Linked DNA regions of Saccharomyces cerevisiae S288C. The gene in region 2 interacts genetically with the main gene of each other region. Each region holds a gene or a part of one and is shown on either strand. Other genes may lie near its edges.

Region 1 (4,275 bases), on a different chromosome or scaffold from region 2:
ATTTGAGCTGGTGAAAGGAGAAAATGAAAGTATACCATTTGAAGAGAGAGAGTGGAAACTTACAATGAATGGCAACACCTCCTTTTTAACTAATGGGGAAGAAATGAATTGGACGTTTATGAATGCCTTTGAGGCTGGTTCAGACGCTGATATCAAAGCGAGAAGAGCAGCTGAGAGCGGAAAACTAAAAATGGAGTGAAAACTAAAGTGAGTCTTGAATTCTGTACTTCTCATTATACACTTCTGCATTTGATTTTTATTTCATGATGAAGCTGTGTGAATATATATATATATATACATATGTCAAAGTCTAGTGTAAATTGATAGAATTAACAGTATCTTTTAATATCCCTAAACTTCAAAATTCAAGGTTCAACGATTGAAAGATGAGCTGTCTAGGTAGTAGTACCGAAACCTTTCGAGTTTTGTGCTATCTCTGAAAACTCATTATCCTGCTAAACCCTTTCTAATGTGCATAGCAGCTATTGCAACTTTAGCATCCTCATTACAGACGGCATAGCAGAGACGTATGCGGTTACCCCCCAGATTTTGCCTGTTTCTTTTCACTATGAAAAATTTTCCGCCATAAGAAAAAATGAAGTAGTGCATCGCATCTCATCTCATCACTTAATTTGAAGACGATTACCATTACTTTTAACTTCATTAACTACCTTTTCTATAGGGTTAAGTTCTAGAGATAAAATAACAGAGGAAAGAGATCGATATGGTAAAGTCAACAAGCAAAACTTCCACCAAGGAAACAGTAACCAAACAACCCACCGAAGAAAAACCTATACAGGAGAAAGAAGAGTTGGCTCTAGAAACATCGTCTAGCAGTTCAGATGAAGAAGACGAAAAAGATGAAGATGAAATTGAAGGTTTAGCCGCTTCTGATGATGAGCAGAGCGGTACACACAAGATTAAAAGATTGAATCCTAAGAAGCAGGCTAATGAAAAAAAGTCGAAAGATAAAAAGACACTTGAAGAGTATTCTGGGATTATTTATGTGAGTAGACTGCCACATGGGTTCCACGAAAAGGAATTAAGTAAATATTTTGCTCAATTCGGTGATTTAAAAGAAGTGAGATTAGCACGTAATAAGAAAACTGGAAATTCCAGACATTATGGCTTCTTAGAATTCGTTAATAAAGAGGATGCAATGATCGCCCAAGAATCTATGAACAATTACTTGTTGATGGGTCATCTACTACAAGTGCGTGTATTACCAAAAGGAGCTAAAATCGAGAAATTGTACAAATACAAGAAGAGAGTTCTAGTAGAGAAAGGTATCACCAAACCAGTAAAACAGCTAAAGGATAACATGAAGCAAAAACATGAAGAAAGGATAAAAAAATTAGCCAAGTCAGGTATCGAATTCAAATGGTGACTTGTCACTTCTCATCCACCCTGAGAAAAGGGTTTTGTAAGATAGAATAGGAGATATAGCAAACTTGGGAAACCATTTATATCATTAATTCCAGCAATATAGTTCCGTTTGTCCGTATTCAATGATATTTACATGATTGCTTTTACGAAGATTCAACGACCAAAATCACGGAGCGGGTAATAGCCTGGAGTTTCCGGATGAAAAATTTAACGGCCCAGAAAAAGAACAATAGCTGCAAAAAAGAAAGCTATACGAGATCGAGATAGTGAGAGAGGTTAGCATAACGAGAAAATTTTTGTCGCATTCGTGGCCAAAAAGCGATATTTGAGAAGCATTGTTATTATATCAATAAATAACAAATATATATATTGTCCTTTTTCCAATAACTATATAAAGAACAAGAAGCTTTTGAAACTTTCTCAAAAATTTTCGTTCAGGCTTCCTCGTTAATATTTAAATTCGATTTTCATTTTCTTCATAGTAAAGAAAATCAATCAACTACAACATAAAATATCAAACAATCATGCCTAAAGTTTACAGTTACCAAGAAGTTGCCGAACACAATGGCCCAGAAAATTTCTGGATTATCATCGATGACAAAGTTTACGATGTTTCTCAATTCAAAGATGAACATCCAGGTGGTGATGAAATTATAATGGATTTGGGTGGACAAGATGCTACAGAAAGCTTTGTCGATATCGGTCATTCTGACGAAGCATTGAGACTACTGAAAGGTTTATACATTGGTGACGTTGACAAGACCAGTGAGCGCGTTTCTGTGGAAAAGGTATCTACCTCTGAAAACCAAAGTAAAGGTAGTGGTACATTGGTTGTCATATTGGCCATTTTAATGCTAGGTGTTGCTTATTATTTGTTGAACGAATAATTTTTCTTCCAGAATAGCCCACACTCTTCTCCAAACTCAATTGAATTTTTCGTTTCAGTTTATTAAATTATTTATTTACAAGCAATCAAGGCCAAATTAATGTCTTACAACATTAACTTATGCTACTATATCGCATAGAAGTATGTCACTGTATCATAGAATCTGCCTGGCAGATAGAATTATTATAAATTAATATGTATATACTTATCTTTGTGTATGGCTAAAAATCATCGTCTTAGATAAAAAAAAAAAAGGCAAATAAAGCTCTGCTCTTACTTCAATACGATCAACCTGGTTGTCGTGCATTTCGCTCATTCTAAAATGACCCATAAGCGCTAGTGCACGACTTCTTTGTAAGTCTACTGTTTTTTTGAAAATCATTCGTTTAACATCGGCCCCAGGGTTGTACGAGAACAAAGAAAAGTGTCTGTCCTATTATTTTACGGCACACTAAGCGTTATGCGAAATAACTTCAATCCAGTTGCCACCGTTCACCCAAAAACTTAGGAGTATTAAAGAAAAAGTGTGACGAAGAGCTTTAAAATATTAAAAATGTAGTATACAGCAAATAAAATTTTATCATGCATTGAAGAAATAAGGTGCAGTCAACTTATATAATTATTATTAATAGAGATGAATGAATTGAATCACTTTGACTTCAATAGTTTGAACGACCTCTGTTACCCCAGCCACCATCTCTCTGCCTGTTACCGCCGTAACCACCACGGCCACCACCGTAACCACCTCTACGGCCATAGCCACCACGACCACCACGACCACCACCGTATCTTGGGTGACCGCCACCATAAGATCTCCTGTCGTATTTCAATAATTCGGGAGGAATATTTTGATTAGCTTCTCTCATGATAGAGATTAATTTAGCACCTAAACCTTTGTTTTGTTCGGTGAAGAAAGATATAGCAGTACCAGTAGCACCTGCTCTACCAGTTCTACCGATTCTGTGAACATAATCTTCAATGTTACCTGGCATATCGTAGTTGATAACGTAATTGATACCTTTGACATCTGAAAAAATAAAGAAGTAAACAAACGTTTACAAAGCATACTGTTAGTAATTTGGTTCGTTATTCTGTATATGAACTTTATTTTCATGCCCCCCACAAATTCATGTTTGGACTCCCAACATTGTCTCAAATTTCCCCCTGGCTTGAAGATTATCAGAAATTATATTTTTATTAAAGAATTCGAAATATTTAATCATCAATACTCCAGAATCCTTATTCAAACTGAATGAAAGCTAGCACTTAAAAAAAGGAAAACAAAGTAAATGATTTCTGAATATGGTTGAAATCCTTTTATTTTGTTATTTTCCATTTTTATCAGCACTTCTTAATAATTCGAACTTGGGATGCAACAGTATCTCAATATAACTACAAAATGCATAAACTACACAAAATGAGAATAACAATAGTCAAGAAGGATGACGGCATTTCAAAGTAGAATATACTATTATTTTTCCAATAAAACAATCTACCCTTGTACAAATGCCAAGCATTGAAAAAAACAACGATCAACGAAGCGTATGTATGCGTTCTAGAAATAAGCTGAAAAGCCAATTCCTTGTTTATTTGCGCCGATGTCAAAAAGCGAAATTTCTTTTGACATGAAGTGCAAATCATGAACACAAATACACTTCTCCGAGTTTATAATTTCCCGTCTCTCAAAACGACTAATTAAAGTCAATTTTTCTCATCCTCCCAATATTAGTTTTCTGTAGTGATGCATTAGAAGTCATTCGAATTAAAATTCAATTTCCGATACTCCCCATCGAGAATAGACTCACATAGAGTCTAGATTCGAAAAGGCTCAAAAAAAAAAAAAAGAAAAAAAGAAAAAAAAAAAAAAAAGAAAAAAAAAAAAAAAAGAAAAAAGGTCTCTCTTCTGTACTATCATGGTTGTCATAAAGTCATTAATGTCATTAAAAGCCATTAGGAAATAGCTGTAATATCGTTAGGGGTAACAAAAAAAAATAAAATCAATA
Region 2 (4,622 bases):
AATGAGCTATTCTTGAGGATTTCTAAGGAGATAGCAGAAGTGAAAGAATTATTAAACGAAATCGTAAGTCCACATGAAATGGAAGTAATATTTGAAAACATGAGAAATCAACCGAATAATGATTTTGAACTGGCGTTGATGAACAAGTTGAAATCCTCATTAAATGATGATAACAAAGTTGAGCAGATAAACAACGCAAGGATGGATGATGATGAAAGCACTAGTCATACAACCAGAGACATCGGGGAAGCTGGATCACAAACGACAGGGAATACTGAATCGGAGGTAACAAACGTAGCAGCTGGTGTTTTCATCGAACATGATGAGCTTTAAACAAGGAGGAGTATAAACTTTTAATTTTTTTTTTTCACGTTTTGCCTTTTATATACCGATTAAATATTTATATTTCTGACTTTTTCTTTACCGACACCAACAGGTGTAGGCTCAAAACATAAAAAAAAAGAGTATTCTATAAACAGTTCTTACGAATAGAACAACTCTTAAAATCCTTTTCTTGCCAAGTCATCGGTTATCTTCAAGTAAAAATTCAGGATGTCAACCTTCTCTCCGACAGTAGTGGTACGAAAAAATTTACTCCAATCATCCTGTAACTTATTTTTCCAATTGATGACGTCCAGATGATCCATGTCCTTCAAAGTCCCCCTGTATTCACCCCATTTACTACTATTTATGGTTACAAGGCCATCGTTGGGGCAACCTTTAGACCTTTCATAAACAATTTTCCAGGGAGTACAAAAGACATTGTACCACTTAGGCACAAAGGAGCATCCATACGAAAAATAAGAGACTTTTGGACTATTTGGCGTAACCAAATTGAAATATTTCATATACGCAGTCGTGAGTTGGTAGAAACATATTGGCAATATCTTTTGGCTAACTCTCAAGGCATTTAGATTTTCAAAAAGGTCGACTACGTAATCGGCCATTTCTGACCCTCTATGTGGAGTTGAAATAGTGGTTAGGCTCAATATATCGTAATTCCTATTTTTTATATTGCAAATTAGATATCGGCAGTCTAGTCCCCCCATTGAGTGTGCGATTAGATTTAACGAATGTCGCTTATCCTTCGACTCGATTTTCTTTACTTCTTTCTGTAACTGAGCATCCAAAGCCATTGCTCTTTCCTCGATGCTACCAAAACCTGGTACCTTAGTGGTGATAACAGTACATCCCTTAGATTGAAGAAATTTTTTAACGCCAATCCAATATTCAATCTCCAACAAATTTGTGTACTTGTTATCACTCTTATCTTCGTCATCCTGCATGAAATTTTCTGCCATATTATGTACTATTGAATTGGAAATTAGGTTTGTCAGATGGAATACAGAAGGGATTAGAATTAATTTGTCAAATCCTGATAAACCATGGCAAAATACAATAGGATTTTTTGGGGGCTTGTACGAATCAGGAACTTTGACGGAGTCTATTATTATATCATTAGCTTTATTATCATTTTTCATTTTTTTTATGCTTTTCCTCCTTTAAAACAAGACGCTTTATTCTCTATATTCTTCCTTGTACATATTTTCAATAGCGGTTCATATTAGGCTCATTATGAGAAAAGGTTGGTGAGAAATTTAGCATATTTTAAACAATCATTTAGCTAGATGAATCAGAATGTTTTTCCGACAAATAGTAGCTCGCGTGGCGTAATGGCAACGCGTCTGACTTCTAATCAGAAGATTATGGGTTCGACCCCCATCGTGAGTGCTTTGTTTCTTCCGTGATAGTTTAATGGTCAGAATGGGCGCTTGTCGCGTGCCAGATCGGGGTTCAATTCCCCGTCGCGGAGAATTTTTTTTAATTGATAGTAGCAGGTACAGGAGAAAGAGTAAATAATAGAAAGCAAGGTACGTGATGGGAATTGATCAAACTAATATCGCTATACCTATAAGAATTTGCGTGTTTGTATACGTAAAGAATATATAATATATTGATGTGTGCGCTGAGGAAGGTAAGTCTACACAATTTATCCGTTAGCCCAAATTAATCAAACAGCATATTTTTTAGTCCACTCCTTAGCGGTGGCTTCATACTTAGCCTTATCTGTCTTGTAGATTTGAGCAATTTCAGGGACCAAAGGATCGTCGGGATTAGCATCTGTTAAAAGAGAGCAAATAGACAACAAAACTTTTGAAAGGGTTAGCGCCGGTGACCACTGGTCCTTTAAAATATCAAGGCAGATATTACCACTCGAATTAATATTCGGATGATAAATTTTGGTCGTAAAGTTTACCTTCGGTGGCTTGAATGGATAATCAGTTGGAAAGTGAATAGACAAAAAGAAAACGCCACCAGCGTAGGGTGAGTCTGAAGGACCCATAATAGAGGCTTGCCAATGATACAGGTCATCCCCTACAGGTCCTGCTGAACATGAAGCAGGAGGATCTCTTCGGAAAAAAGTTCAAAAAAGAAACTCATGTTAGTAATCCTTTTTCTTTACAGATCAAGAAAAATCATTCATTTTATTTTTAACATACCTCCCTAAATCACTTAATTCCTTGGCAATACGCTTGGAGGAAGACATTTTTAGTTTAGTTGAGGGTGGTGAGCAGAAAATGACTTTTCAAGATGGTAGTCAATAAGCAGTCCTGACCTTGGAAAATAAAACTCCAACCATCTATTAAAATCCGGGATACAATTATTTTTTATAATTTTGGGTCGGCTATCTTTGGTACAAATGAGTAAGGCGGCAGCCGCTTTATTACCCGCTCGCAGTGGCAACTACCTCCACCACAGCCATGCTTCAAAAGCGCTTGCTACGAGAGTTTACACCGTACTAGCACTAGCAATACATCTAGATATCTAATTGAATTACGCACAATATAAGAAAAATCGGTTTATGAGCCTAATGAATGAGTACCAAAATAAGTAGGCAAAAAGTACAGCCTCTCATGGAACAATGAACACAACCCTAGTATAATTCATCTGTACTTTGGGACTTTCTGTGTAAGTAAACCAAGACATAATTTAATATATTTGAGAAATCTATCCTTATCCAATTGGTTGTTGCAGATGATTTCATATAAGCAAAAATGTTGGTATAACTTTCACCACATGCAATAGCAGATCTTTTGTATAACGCGTATTGCCCAACATAATCTAAGATCAGATCATTAATAAGAAAATCTCATTTCCAAAACCGATTGGACATATACTGTTTAGTAATAACCGCCGATATGATGTTCTTCCGTTCTCTTGCCTCTGTATTCCGTTACCCGTTGCAGAATGAAAAATTTTTTCTTTTGGCGATGAGGTAAAAAATTATCAGAGATGCCAAAGTAATGGAGTTGCGAATAAGAAAGCATTATGTCGTACACATCGGAAGCGAAATTCTATAGTTTGATAAATTTCTATAGATATTAAACCTCTCCAGTGTCTTTGTTGGTACAGTAATCAAAAATAATGAGTGAGAACAACGGCAATCCGCTGGATTTGTCTTCACTAAGAAATAAGATTTCGTCAAAATTGCGAGACAATAACAGCAAAAAGGCGAAGAAAACCCACAAAGGCAAGGACGTGAAGGCCAGTAGTAATTCAAAGAAGGTAAATGAGGACATACGTCGTGAAGCACTAGCATTGGGTGCCAGCGAAGAAGATCTAAAATTGATTCAAGGATTAAGCGATGATGATGACGCTAAGAGCGAACAGGAATTTGATGCCGTCGCTGACGAGGATGCTGACGACAAGGGATTCAAGAACGATCTTCAAAATTTCATGAAGAATGTAGGATTTGACCAACACAAACTCGAAGATGTAGACGATGACGATATAGAAGAAGAATCCACTAGCTCCAAAGAATCTAAAATACCCGCTCAAGAGAAGGAACATGCACAATCAAACATTGCATCATCGACAATAGAGAAAACCTCCCAAGAGTCAATCGATAATGGCAGTGAACAAGAAGAAAACACAGTAGAAGAGGCTAATCTTAGTTCAGACCAAGAGCCAGAATCAGAATCTGCAGAGAAAGAAAAGAAAGAGGAGAAAGATGGAGGTTTAATTACTCAAACTACTATTATCTCATCTGACAAACTTATTATTCCTTACGATAAACCATGGTATGAAATTCCATTGGATCCTCAAGTTGGACAAAATGATGATGTTGAAGAATTATCCAAGGAACAGATTGAGAAACTTTTTGAAAGAGGTAAGCAAACGCTAGAAGCTGACAACCAAACTTACTATGAGGAGTTTACAAAGGACTCATCGCAGGCCAAGTTCATGTCCCAAATCCTATCGGACGGTACCCTCAACGATAAAATATCTGCCGTAACTTTACTCATTCAAGATTCGCCATTGCATAACACTAAGTCTTTAGAAACTCTGGTTTCATATTGTGGCAAAAAATCGAGAAACTCTGCTTTACAGAGTTTAAACGCTTTGAAGGATTTATTCTTAAATGGTCTTTTGCCCAACAGAAAGCTGAGGTATTTCAAAAATCAACCTGGCTTATCTATGATGCTAAACAAGAAAACTCTTGCAATTTTCTATTTCGAAGATTATTTAAAGAAACTGTTCTTTCGTGTTTTAGAAGTCTTGGAAGTGCTTTCCCACGATCCAATTATTCACGTTAGATTACAAATATTAAATCATGTATT
Region 3 (4,356 bases), on a different chromosome or scaffold from region 2:
GCGCCCTCCGTAGATATGAAGCACTTCTTCAGATGTTTGACGATTTCATTAAAGAATCTCTCGCCAATTTCTTGTTGGTACACGTCAATAGTACCCTTGTCTGTGGCACCAGTCAGTAGAAAGCAATGATTAGAAAGTAACTCGACTACCCTGATAGCACATTTGGTTGGCTTTATATCCCTTATTGGAGAATTCCTAGAGGGTGGCGGTGGATTATAATCGTCAGGCAATTGAAGAGTCTTGAATACAAATGAGATTTCATCCATTAGTTTGTTTATACCGATATTTAAACCTTCGGCTACAAAATCATCGATAGAAGTCTCAAAATTTTTTTTTAATTGGATAACATCATTAAGAAAATCTTTATTTTTATCGATAATTTTTTTGGGAATCAATTCGTTCTTGTAAAAAATGGAAATCATTTGTAATATTATGTCACCTATATTGATAAGTTCAGTGAATTGTACTAAAGGTTCGACTTGAGTATTGGCTGGCGAAAGTGAATTGAATTTTATTTCTATTTGTTCTATTTCGTTAGGATTATATTTTTGTAGTAGCAGGATTGCCTTTTCAAATGCAGGTTTAACGTGATTTTTATTCAATTGTGTAATTAAAATTTTGAAAATCTCTTGACAGCGTAGCTTGATCAATGGTAGCAAACTTTCAATCGTATGAAATTTGTAAATTTGATCCGTCTTTTCGCTTGTTTCCTGTAAAATTTTGTAACATAAATCGAGACTTATTAACGATTTAATGTTTTGCAAGTTATTGGAAATTAAATTTAAGTTGTAGGCTAGTTGTAGTTGTTGCTTTAGCCTTTGATTTTCATTGTTCGAGAACTTGAAAATCTTGGTGAAGGAACTTAGAAAGTCTAGTTTATCATTAGAAATATCAGTTGAATGAACTGATTGATGGATCGTACTTGGTTTTGAATCCGCTTCTGGGACAGTTTTGGAGGTTTCAGTAATTATTGAGAGGTCATTCGGCAATTCATTGTTACTTGCACTCGAAGCATCCGTTTGATCTTTTAAAGTGTTATAAATTTTTGCGTTTTGCTCACGCTGCTTGTCTTGAACTTGTGTGTCATAATTAGCTAATTGTGAGTTGATCAATGATTCAAATACTCTAGTTGTCTGATTCATATAGTTGACAACAAAGGGCTCGAGATACAGGTTTAAAAGGTCACGAACAACTTTACGGAAATTTGCGCCTGCGTTTACTGAGTCGTTTAATTCAGTATCAAACTTTTTTATAAATGTGAAATAAAGTTCGGGTACGCATTCATAATTGGCTTTACTATCCTTTCCATTTTCTTTTAAAAATTCACTATAGCTTAATAAGATATTGTTTAAAATATCTAATAAAATATCTTGGATAAAGGACTCGATGAACTGTAATATTACAGGGAACTCATCTTTGAATAAAATGTCCGCTAATTTAATCTTTTCGTTGAGGAAATCCCTTAGCTGATTGAGAAACGTATCTAAATTTTTAGAATTAAATATCACGGTACTCCCACCGCTGTCCTCTTCCCTTGGTTGTTCGGCCCAAAATAATTCATCATTAGACGGCAAAACCGTTAAACTGGGAGGCAAATCAGCCTTTGACTTGAAAAATTCGATAGCATTGCTTTCCTCATTAGATATCAATAAAATTTTCATGAAACGAGCGACGGCAGCTAAATTATTAGACTGGTAATTCAATTCTGACTCTTTGAGAACAGAATTAATGAAGATTTCCCTAAGAATGTTGAAATTAGTTTCAATCCTAGTAAATGTTTCTATATCATTTTTATTCGAGAAATTGTACTTTTTGATAAAATTTAGAATTCTTGTTTGTTTCAACGGATCGTTGGAATATGAAGTAGGAAAGAAATTTGCTAGATTATTATTATATAGCTTCCTAGCGTATGAGTTATAACAACGGTAAAATTTCACAAAGATTTTTTTAGAATTTTGAGCAGTGAAAGATTTGTATATTTCGAAGATGCGAAGGGAATTTTGATTATCATTTTCATCCAGCAACGTAATTTCTTCTTCTTCATTTGAATGCACCTGTTGGAGACCCATTCTAGTCAATTTCAATGACCAATACTTTGAATCATTTTTGCCGTTAATGATTGCATAAACCCGTTTATTCACTTGTTGAAAACTCAGATAATCTACAGTAGATAAATATGAGGCAATATTGGTTACAATCTCGGGAACTTTTAGCAGATCATCCATTTTACCGATTTCCTCAAAAGCTTTTGTTTTCTTTTGGTTTTTCTATTGTTTGTCTGTTGACCATTTTTTGATAAAATAAGAACCTTCCTTCAACGAAATATTTCGGCAAAAGTTAGCCTTGAAACACTTAAATACAGGAAGAAATAAGGTAAAGCGTAAAACTAACAGCAATAATTTGCAGTTGTATAAATGGAACCAGAAGATACCCAGCTGAAAGAGGACATTAAAACCACAGTAAATTACATAAAGCAGCATGGTGTTGAGTTTGAGAACAAACTGCTAGAAGATGAGAGATTCTCATTCATCAAGAAAGATGACCCACTCCATGAATACTACACCAAACTCATGAATGAGCCAACAGACACTGTCAGCGGTGAAGATAATGACAGAAAGAGTGAGCGAGAGATAGCAAGGCCGCCGGATTTTCTGTTCTCTCAATATGATACTGGAATATCCCGAAGAGACATGGAAGTAATCAAATTGACAGCACGCTACTATGCAAAGGATAAAAGTATTGTTGAACAGATGATTTCAAAGGATGGTGAAGCCAGATTAAACTTTATGAACAGCTCACATCCGCTACATAAGACATTCACTGATTTTGTCGCCCAGTACAAGCGAGTATATTCTTTTACTGGTCAAGAAATCAAGAAAAGTAAGAGAACCATTTTAGATAATTGTTTTGAGAGAACACAGTATTGGGAATTTGAGAAAGATAAAGACCGGGAACATGATAAGCTCGTAGAGTTGTGCAAAATACAATTTGCAGCCATTCCATGGGATAAATTTACTCAAGTGGCAAAATTTTCTATCCCTGAAGACACAGAAATCTTCGAAGGCTCTCTAGATTTAGAACAGATGAGGCTGCGAAGAGTACAAACTGGTATTAAGTTATTCGATAGTATCAAGCCGACAAATGAAGAAGAAAAGATAGTATCCGACCAAGGTAAGCAAAAAGGAGGAGATAGTAAGGGCAAAAAGCGTAAAATTAGAGCTGTGGGAGAGACAAGGTTAAAGAAAAGTAAAAAATAAGCCTCATGAAAATCAAAGTTAGCTAGAAGTATGTAAAGGTTGATGATGCACCGTAATTGAGCACATGTATCACTATTAACGGCGTACGTATTTTGGCGTTTTTTCATGTTGATGTTATTTTGTATATAGAAAGTGAAATTCTCGAGGATATGGCCCTACTGGATAATACTATTGGTAGCGTGAAAGAAGGCCAGGATGATAGATATCAACGTTAATAACATATTTTTTAGATCTTATTCAGTTGATCCTAACTCTGGTCACGCAATTTATGTCTTTGATTCGACTTATTTGCCAGCATCTGATGAAATTGGCGATAAGCAAGTTTATGACTTGCTTATTAATGCCCTCATGGATCGATTGGTAATGAAATTGCCACAGGCACCATATTCACTGGTGATTTTTTCATCTGGGTTTTCCCAGAGAAAAATAAGCTGGGTTTACGGTATTAAAATGTTTGCAAAGTTACCCAAAGAGACCAAGTTCTATTTACAAAAGATTTTTATTGTTCATGAGTCATTCTTCGTTAGGTCGGTCTATCAAGTAATTTCAAACGCTATGAACTTTAACTTCTTGGACTCAAAAGATAGTCAGCATGATTTTCCAAGTTTAGTTCATGTCTTGGACCTGACTTCTTTATCCGAGCTAATAGATATTACGCGACTTAGAATATCGTTGAACGTGTACTTATATGATTACCAGATACGCGAACATATAAATGTCCCGGAGGAATATTATAACAGATTGACCCCTCTGGCAATAAGACAGTATAGGCAGTTAGTATTCGATAAAATTTTCAAGAAATTACAGAATGACGCTCTGTTGTGTGAATTGATATTCCAGAAGCCGGGAAACTATAAAAAGGTAAACATTTTTTTGGATATTATCAAAAGAAACAACTACATTGATTTATCTCAATGGGATATTTATTCTTTGGCATCCGTGTGGTTGAATTACTTCATTAAGAATAAAGCCAAACCTCTAATCCCAATTGAATTAATTCCGTTACCAATTGTTGATGATCTAAAGTTCACAAGTGAAACATTCCGCAAAATTATTAAATTCAACCAATACCAGGACCTCTTTATGGTCATAATTCCTT
Region 4 (5,410 bases), on a different chromosome or scaffold from region 2:
CACTGCTTTCACAGTTTTCTTTAAGATTTTTATTGATCAATAATTTATGTATATTTTAATTTCTATGTTTTTGTAATATTGTTTATTTTGGTAAAATATAGACGCAACTTCCTTATTATAAAGAAAGGCATTATTTAAAAGAAAAAGCGTTCCATTAGTCAGACATCTTTTTTTTTCATACATTCTTAAGCTCAGGCAAATTGAGCATTGCCTCATACCCTTTTCGGTAAGAGGGTAACGAAAATATTTTTTTGGAAGAATAAAAATAGGTGACGGATCATAGACTAGGAAGCTTTAAAACATGATTGAGCGTAATATTATATTCCTTCTAGAAAAGATAAAAGAGCCAAGACCTAAAATTTTTTCATCCCTGTTCTATTAAAATTGTGGAAATGAGGTTTTTGAGGGGATTTGTATTTTCTTTGGCTTTCACTCTATATAAAGTAACTGCCACGGCAGAAATAGGATCTGAAATTAATGTGGAAAATGAGGCACCACCTGATGGTTTATCCTGGGAGGAGTGGCATATGGACCATGAGCATCAGCTAAAAGATTACACTCCAGAGACTTTCTTCGCGTTACATGATATCAAGAAGAAAGGATTTTTAGATGAAAACGATATTCTATCTCTCTACGGGTTGAACCGTGAAGAAATTGTGGGGGCTGGTGATGGTATGGGACAACACGATGAATCTGAGAAAATTGACAATGAAATGGCTAAGCGTGTTGTTAGCCTTATTATGAGGTTATTGGATGTTGATGATAATACCAAAATCACCAAGGAGGAATATCTACAATTTGCTAAGAGAGGAAACAAGTTCCCTGACCTTGGCGTTGGTGTAGGTCACCACTCCGATTTTGAGCTAGAATATGAAATTCATCACTGGAATAAGTTTCATAAGGACAAAGATCCAGACGTTAAAGTCGTTCACAAAGAAGACATAGAACATGAATTGCTTCATCATGAACATGAAATTGAACATGAAGAAGAAATTCAAAGAGGCGCTTCTAGAGCTACTGTAATAACTGATGACGAACTAGAGTCTAGAATAGAGCTGAAAAATATTCCCGAGAAATTCAAAAATGGAATTTTTTAATGGACTTGGTCAAGATGAATAGTTGAGACTGAGAAAATATTCAAGACACTATGTATGTAGTCAATTAGCATGTAGTAAGTAATCAAAGCACTTAAAATATATTTTTACCATCGCATCGTTGTGATGCCTCTCCTTTGTGATTAACTATCTACTTTAAACGTTCTATTTTCTATGTTCTAATTACGTATGTATTGGTCTTTTCTCTCCGATGGTAACAAGAAGCGTTTCGGGAAACAGTGGCACCTCCTTGTCCCTTAAATGTCGAACTTTAACAGTATAAGTACAAAGTGAAAAAAAAAAAAAAATGGAAATATCTATGATAGTGATATGATAGAAGAGCTATTTGAATGCTATGTTGTCATATTTAGCCTTACAAAAGGGAAAAGGCAAACACAGTCTTTTGTTATTACTATAGGAAAGATAGAATTGATATTAAAACAGTATGAAGTTATTGCATTTATATGAAGCGAGCTTGAAGAGAAGGCCCAAAACTACGAATGCGATAATGACAGGTGCGCTATTTGGAATTGGTGATGTTTCTGCTCAATTGTTGTTTCCAACATCCAAAGTAAACAAGGGTTATGATTATAAAAGGACAGCTAGGGCTGTCATCTATGGTTCTTTAATTTTCTCCTTTATAGGTGACAAGTGGTACAAGATCTTGAACAACAAGATTTATATGCGTAACAGACCTCAGTACCACTGGTCTAATATGGTTTTACGGGTAGCTGTCGATCAATTGGCGTTTGCGCCGCTAGGTTTGCCATTTTATTTCACCTGTATGTCCATCATGGAAGGTAGATCATTTGACGTAGCTAAGTTGAAAATAAAAGAGCAATGGTGGCCTACACTTTTGACTAATTGGGCAGTTTGGCCACTTTTCCAAGCGATTAACTTTTCTGTTGTTCCTTTACAACATAGGTTACTAGCTGTTAATGTCGTTGCAATATTTTGGAACACTTACTTATCTTATAAAAACTCAAAGGTTATGGAGAAAGACAAGGTACCTGTTCATTATCCACCCGTGGTCGAATAACTGGATAAGAAATCCTGATTTTGAAAATATTTGGAATTCAACTAGCATATTTATCAGACCTTGTTCCTTGGGGTACTGGAACAGCATATACCTAATAGACTTTCGGCAGAGAGCAGACCAACTTCATAAATATTTGAGTCACCAAAGTTGGCTAGCAATCTGCTTTTCCTTTACAGATGTGCTTGGTCAGGAACAATTTATTTAATTACATTCGTACTTCTTTTATAGAGGAAATAGTAGCTAACATTTCACTATTGCGGTCATGCCTGTTGTTCTTCAGCTACCGTTTATGCAAAGGTGTTTAATTAGGTGTGAGACTTAAGTGGGCCTTTTAGTACCACTGTGGGTTCTGGACCTTTATATAATATTTCATTTTTTCAAAGGTTTTTTCATATGCCGTTAAAAGAGGTCAAAACATAGACCCGAGGAACATATCTTGTAAATCGCTGCGTTATGTATGCATATTGTACTCCTACCTTCGTAACTGGAAAGAATCAGTCTGAAAGTTTATTGAGCCTGAAACGGAGCAAGATTATAGTTGAATGTTTCTTATTCGGTGTTGATAGTAGATGATGACCAAAGCTTTTTTTAACAAACTACCGTTTGAGGTATTCCGTCGGTACGTTAGGACAGGTAAAAGCATCCCTCAAAGAAGCCCCAGGACAAGAAAATCTCTTCTGGTGGGTGGGACTATTGCATCAGCAGTAGTTTTGTACAACTTTAATGACACTTTTCATGATTCTGTAAAGCACACGGCACTGACGACTAAAAGAATCGCTGTCGTCACACAAGCTACCACTCGTTGCTTCTACCATTACAAGAGGGCTCTAAATAAAAGCTATGAGAACAAAAAAGAACGAGAAGTTGCCTTAAATAAATGTCATAAGATGTGTGCCTTAATCACGTTGCATGCGCTACGATCGAATGGTGGGATATATATCAAATTAGGCCAGCACATTGGGGCCATGACCTACCTGTTGCCTAAAGAATGGACGGATACAATGATACCGTTGCAAGACCACTGTCCCGAATCCACCTACGAAGAAATTGATGAGTTATTTAAAGAAGATCTAGGCACCAGCATTGAGGATATGTTTTTAGAATTCAACAAAACCCCGATAGGTGTAGCTTCCTTGGCACAGGTTCATGTGGCAAAACTAAAAAATAGTGACGGTAAAGGTTCTAGTGTAGCTGTCAAATGTCAGCATCCATCGTTGAAGGAGTTTATACCATTAGATGTTATGCTGACAAGAACAGTGTTTGAACTGCTGGATGTCTTCTTCCCTGATTATCCGTTAACGTGGCTTGGTGATGAGCTTCAGTCTTCAATCTACGTGGAACTGAATTTTACCAAAGAAGCTGAAAATGCAGAAAAAACCCGTCATTATTTTAGTAAGTTCAAGAAGCAAACAGCATTGAAAATACCCAAGGTCATTGAAAGCCACAAAAGAATTTTGATTATGGAATATGTTGGAGGCAAAAGGTTGGATGATTTGGAGTACATTGACAGTCACGGTATCTCGCGCAGTGAAGTTTCGAGTTGTCTCTCTCATATTTTCAATAACATGATTTTTACTCCCAATGTAGGTATTCATTGTGATCCTCATGGAGGAAATCTGGCCATACGATCTGTTAAGCCCGCTAAAGATAATGGATACCATAACTTTGAAATTGTTTTATTTGACCACGGACTCTATAGATATCCTAGCACGAGAACAAGAAGACTTTATGCCAAATTTTGGTTGTCGCTCCTATTCGACAAGGACCAGACAAAAATGAAGAAGTATGCCAAAGGATTCGCAAACATCACCGACGAACAGTTTCCCCTTTTAGCGGCTGCAATTACGGGCCGTAGCATTGATGCTGCTTTGAATTACGACATTTCAACGAGTCGAACACAAGAAGAAATGGACGTCATGGCAAATGGGATCTTGGAAGGAACGTTACTGAGCGACTTGATGAGCATTTTGTCTAGAATCCCTCGTGTAGTGCTTTTGATATTGAAGACTAACGACCTAACCAGACATCTTGATGAATGTCTACAGAATCCACTCGGGCCAGAGAGGACTTTCCTGATCATGACGCAATACTGCGCCAAGACGGTCTACGACGAAAAAGTGGAAAGAATTAATTCGGAGTATGCGAGGTGGTCTATTAAATGGATGTGGGAGAACTTGACAAACTGGATAGTCTATGAGAGGCGTATTAATCAATTGTATTTTTATGATTTTGTGTTGTGGTGGAAAAAATTTATTCCGAAGACTTGGTTGTCATCTTAAATCGTTAGCGTTCTTTCTACTTGTAAATATATACGTAAAATTATATATAACAATTTTATATGTGTCATTAAACGGAAGACGTTGTTGCTATCACAGTGGATTGTGTTATTTGGGTATTTGGAATATTACAGTGACTTCTTGCAGCGTTGTTAGTTTTTGCCATGTTCTGCAAGTACAAGGTTGAAGATGTGGTCGAGACTTTGATAGTATCCTTAAACAACTTCATTTTTTTATTTTGACTGGGTAACGACCTGGTGTTCCTTCTAGTCTCACCGCTAGTGGCTTCTTCTTTGCTGACTCTTAACTTTTGCAGCGCCTCTTTGGTGTCGAGTAACTCGTGTTCCAGTAGAACGTTGCGTTCCAGTCGTCGGTCACTCTCCAATTGTAATGTCTCTATCTTATTCCTCAGTTGGATATTTTCATTTTCCAACTCATCTACCTGTATCTCTAAATCTGTTATCTGTTTCTTATTGCACTTATTTTGTTGTTGGCTCTCAAGAAGATCGCTTTTTAACTTTGATATTACTTGTTCCAAATCATTTTCATATTCTTTCGTGGCGCCTTCAAGCTCGCTCAACTGGGTCTCCAGTGAGGAGATTATCTGTATAGCTGTTTCCAAATCCAAATTCGGCACCATAGGAAAGTCGCAATTGTTGCACGTATATGTCCCTTGGATATTCCAATTAAATTTGCGAGGATTGTTCTTTCGGCCGTTCGTGGTTTGTTGTAGCCCTTATTATCCCTCTTTTTCATCCTTAATTGCAAATTTATGTATGAAAACTTTCATTTCTAATGTTATTAATTTTCCCGATTCTGCAAACTAATTGATAAAATAATTGATACTTGCCGTCACAGATGATATAGAGAACGTTCAGTTTTTTTATTGTTCTATTGTAAAAAAAAAAAAAAAAGGAAGAAAAAAGCAAGATCCGATAGGAGAAGACCTCTTTAGCGGCTTTACTGCGCTACAAATAAGGTTACGAATATGCGGAATAGTT

The links.
Region 1: mutations in TGL2 (region 2) and CYB5 together harm fitness more than expected from each alone (negative genetic interaction), as found in Saccharomyces cerevisiae (2 studies listed by BioGRID).
Region 3: mutations in TGL2 (region 2) and PRP21 together harm fitness more than expected from each alone (negative genetic interaction), as found in Saccharomyces cerevisiae (2 studies listed by BioGRID).
Region 4: mutations in TGL2 (region 2) and CQD2 impair growth when combined (synthetic growth defect), as found in Saccharomyces cerevisiae (4 studies listed by BioGRID, with this or other methods).

The regions. Positions count from the first base shown.
Region 1 is NC_001146.8:414,938-419,212, reverse strand, and holds CYB5 (Cyb5p), read left to right. Parts: upstream 1-1,910; coding exon 1,911-2,273; downstream 2,274-4,275. Other genes in the region: YNL108C (uncharacterized protein), read left to right, coding at 1-199; rRNA-binding ribosome biosynthesis protein NOP15, read left to right, coding at 725-1,387; DEAD-box ATP-dependent RNA helicase DBP2, read right to left, coding at 2,932-3,299. UniProt on the Saccharomyces cerevisiae protein: Membrane bound hemoprotein which function as an electron carrier for several membrane bound oxygenases.
Region 2 is NC_001136.10:567,223-571,844, forward strand, and holds TGL2 (triglyceride lipase), read right to left. Parts: upstream 1,482-4,622; coding exon 501-1,481; downstream 1-500. Other genes in the region: YOS9 (Yos9p), read left to right, coding at 1-333; E2 ubiquitin-conjugating protein UBC5, read right to left, coding at 2,012-2,411, 2,502-2,548; RNA-binding ribosome biosynthesis protein MAK21, read left to right, coding at 3,427-4,622. UniProt on the Saccharomyces cerevisiae protein: Mitochondrial triacylglycerol (TAG) lipase with activity toward long-chain diacylglycerols (DAGs) and triacylglycerols (TAGs). Involved in mitochondrial lipid metabolism.
Region 3 is NC_001142.9:50,927-55,282, forward strand, and holds PRP21 (Prp21p), read left to right. Parts: upstream 1-2,414; coding exon 2,415-3,257; downstream 3,258-4,356. Other genes in the region: RCY1 (Rcy1p), read right to left, coding at 1-2,225; ECM25 (Ecm25p), read left to right, coding at 3,453-4,356. UniProt on the Saccharomyces cerevisiae protein: mRNA splicing factors, PRP9, PRP11, and PRP21, are necessary for binding of the U2 snRNP to the pre-mRNA in an early step of spliceosome assembly.
Region 4 is NC_001144.5:639,925-645,334, forward strand, and holds CQD2 (Cqd2p), read left to right. Parts: upstream 1-2,702; coding exon 2,703-4,412; downstream 4,413-5,410. Other genes in the region: nucleobindin SSP120, read left to right, coding at 393-1,097; SYM1 (ethanol metabolism protein), read left to right, coding at 1,540-2,133; NDL1 (Ndl1p), read right to left, coding at 4,480-5,049. UniProt on the Saccharomyces cerevisiae protein: Component of MIOREX complexes, large expressome-like assemblies of ribosomes with factors involved in all the steps of post-transcriptional gene expression. Involved in mitochondrial lipid homeostasis.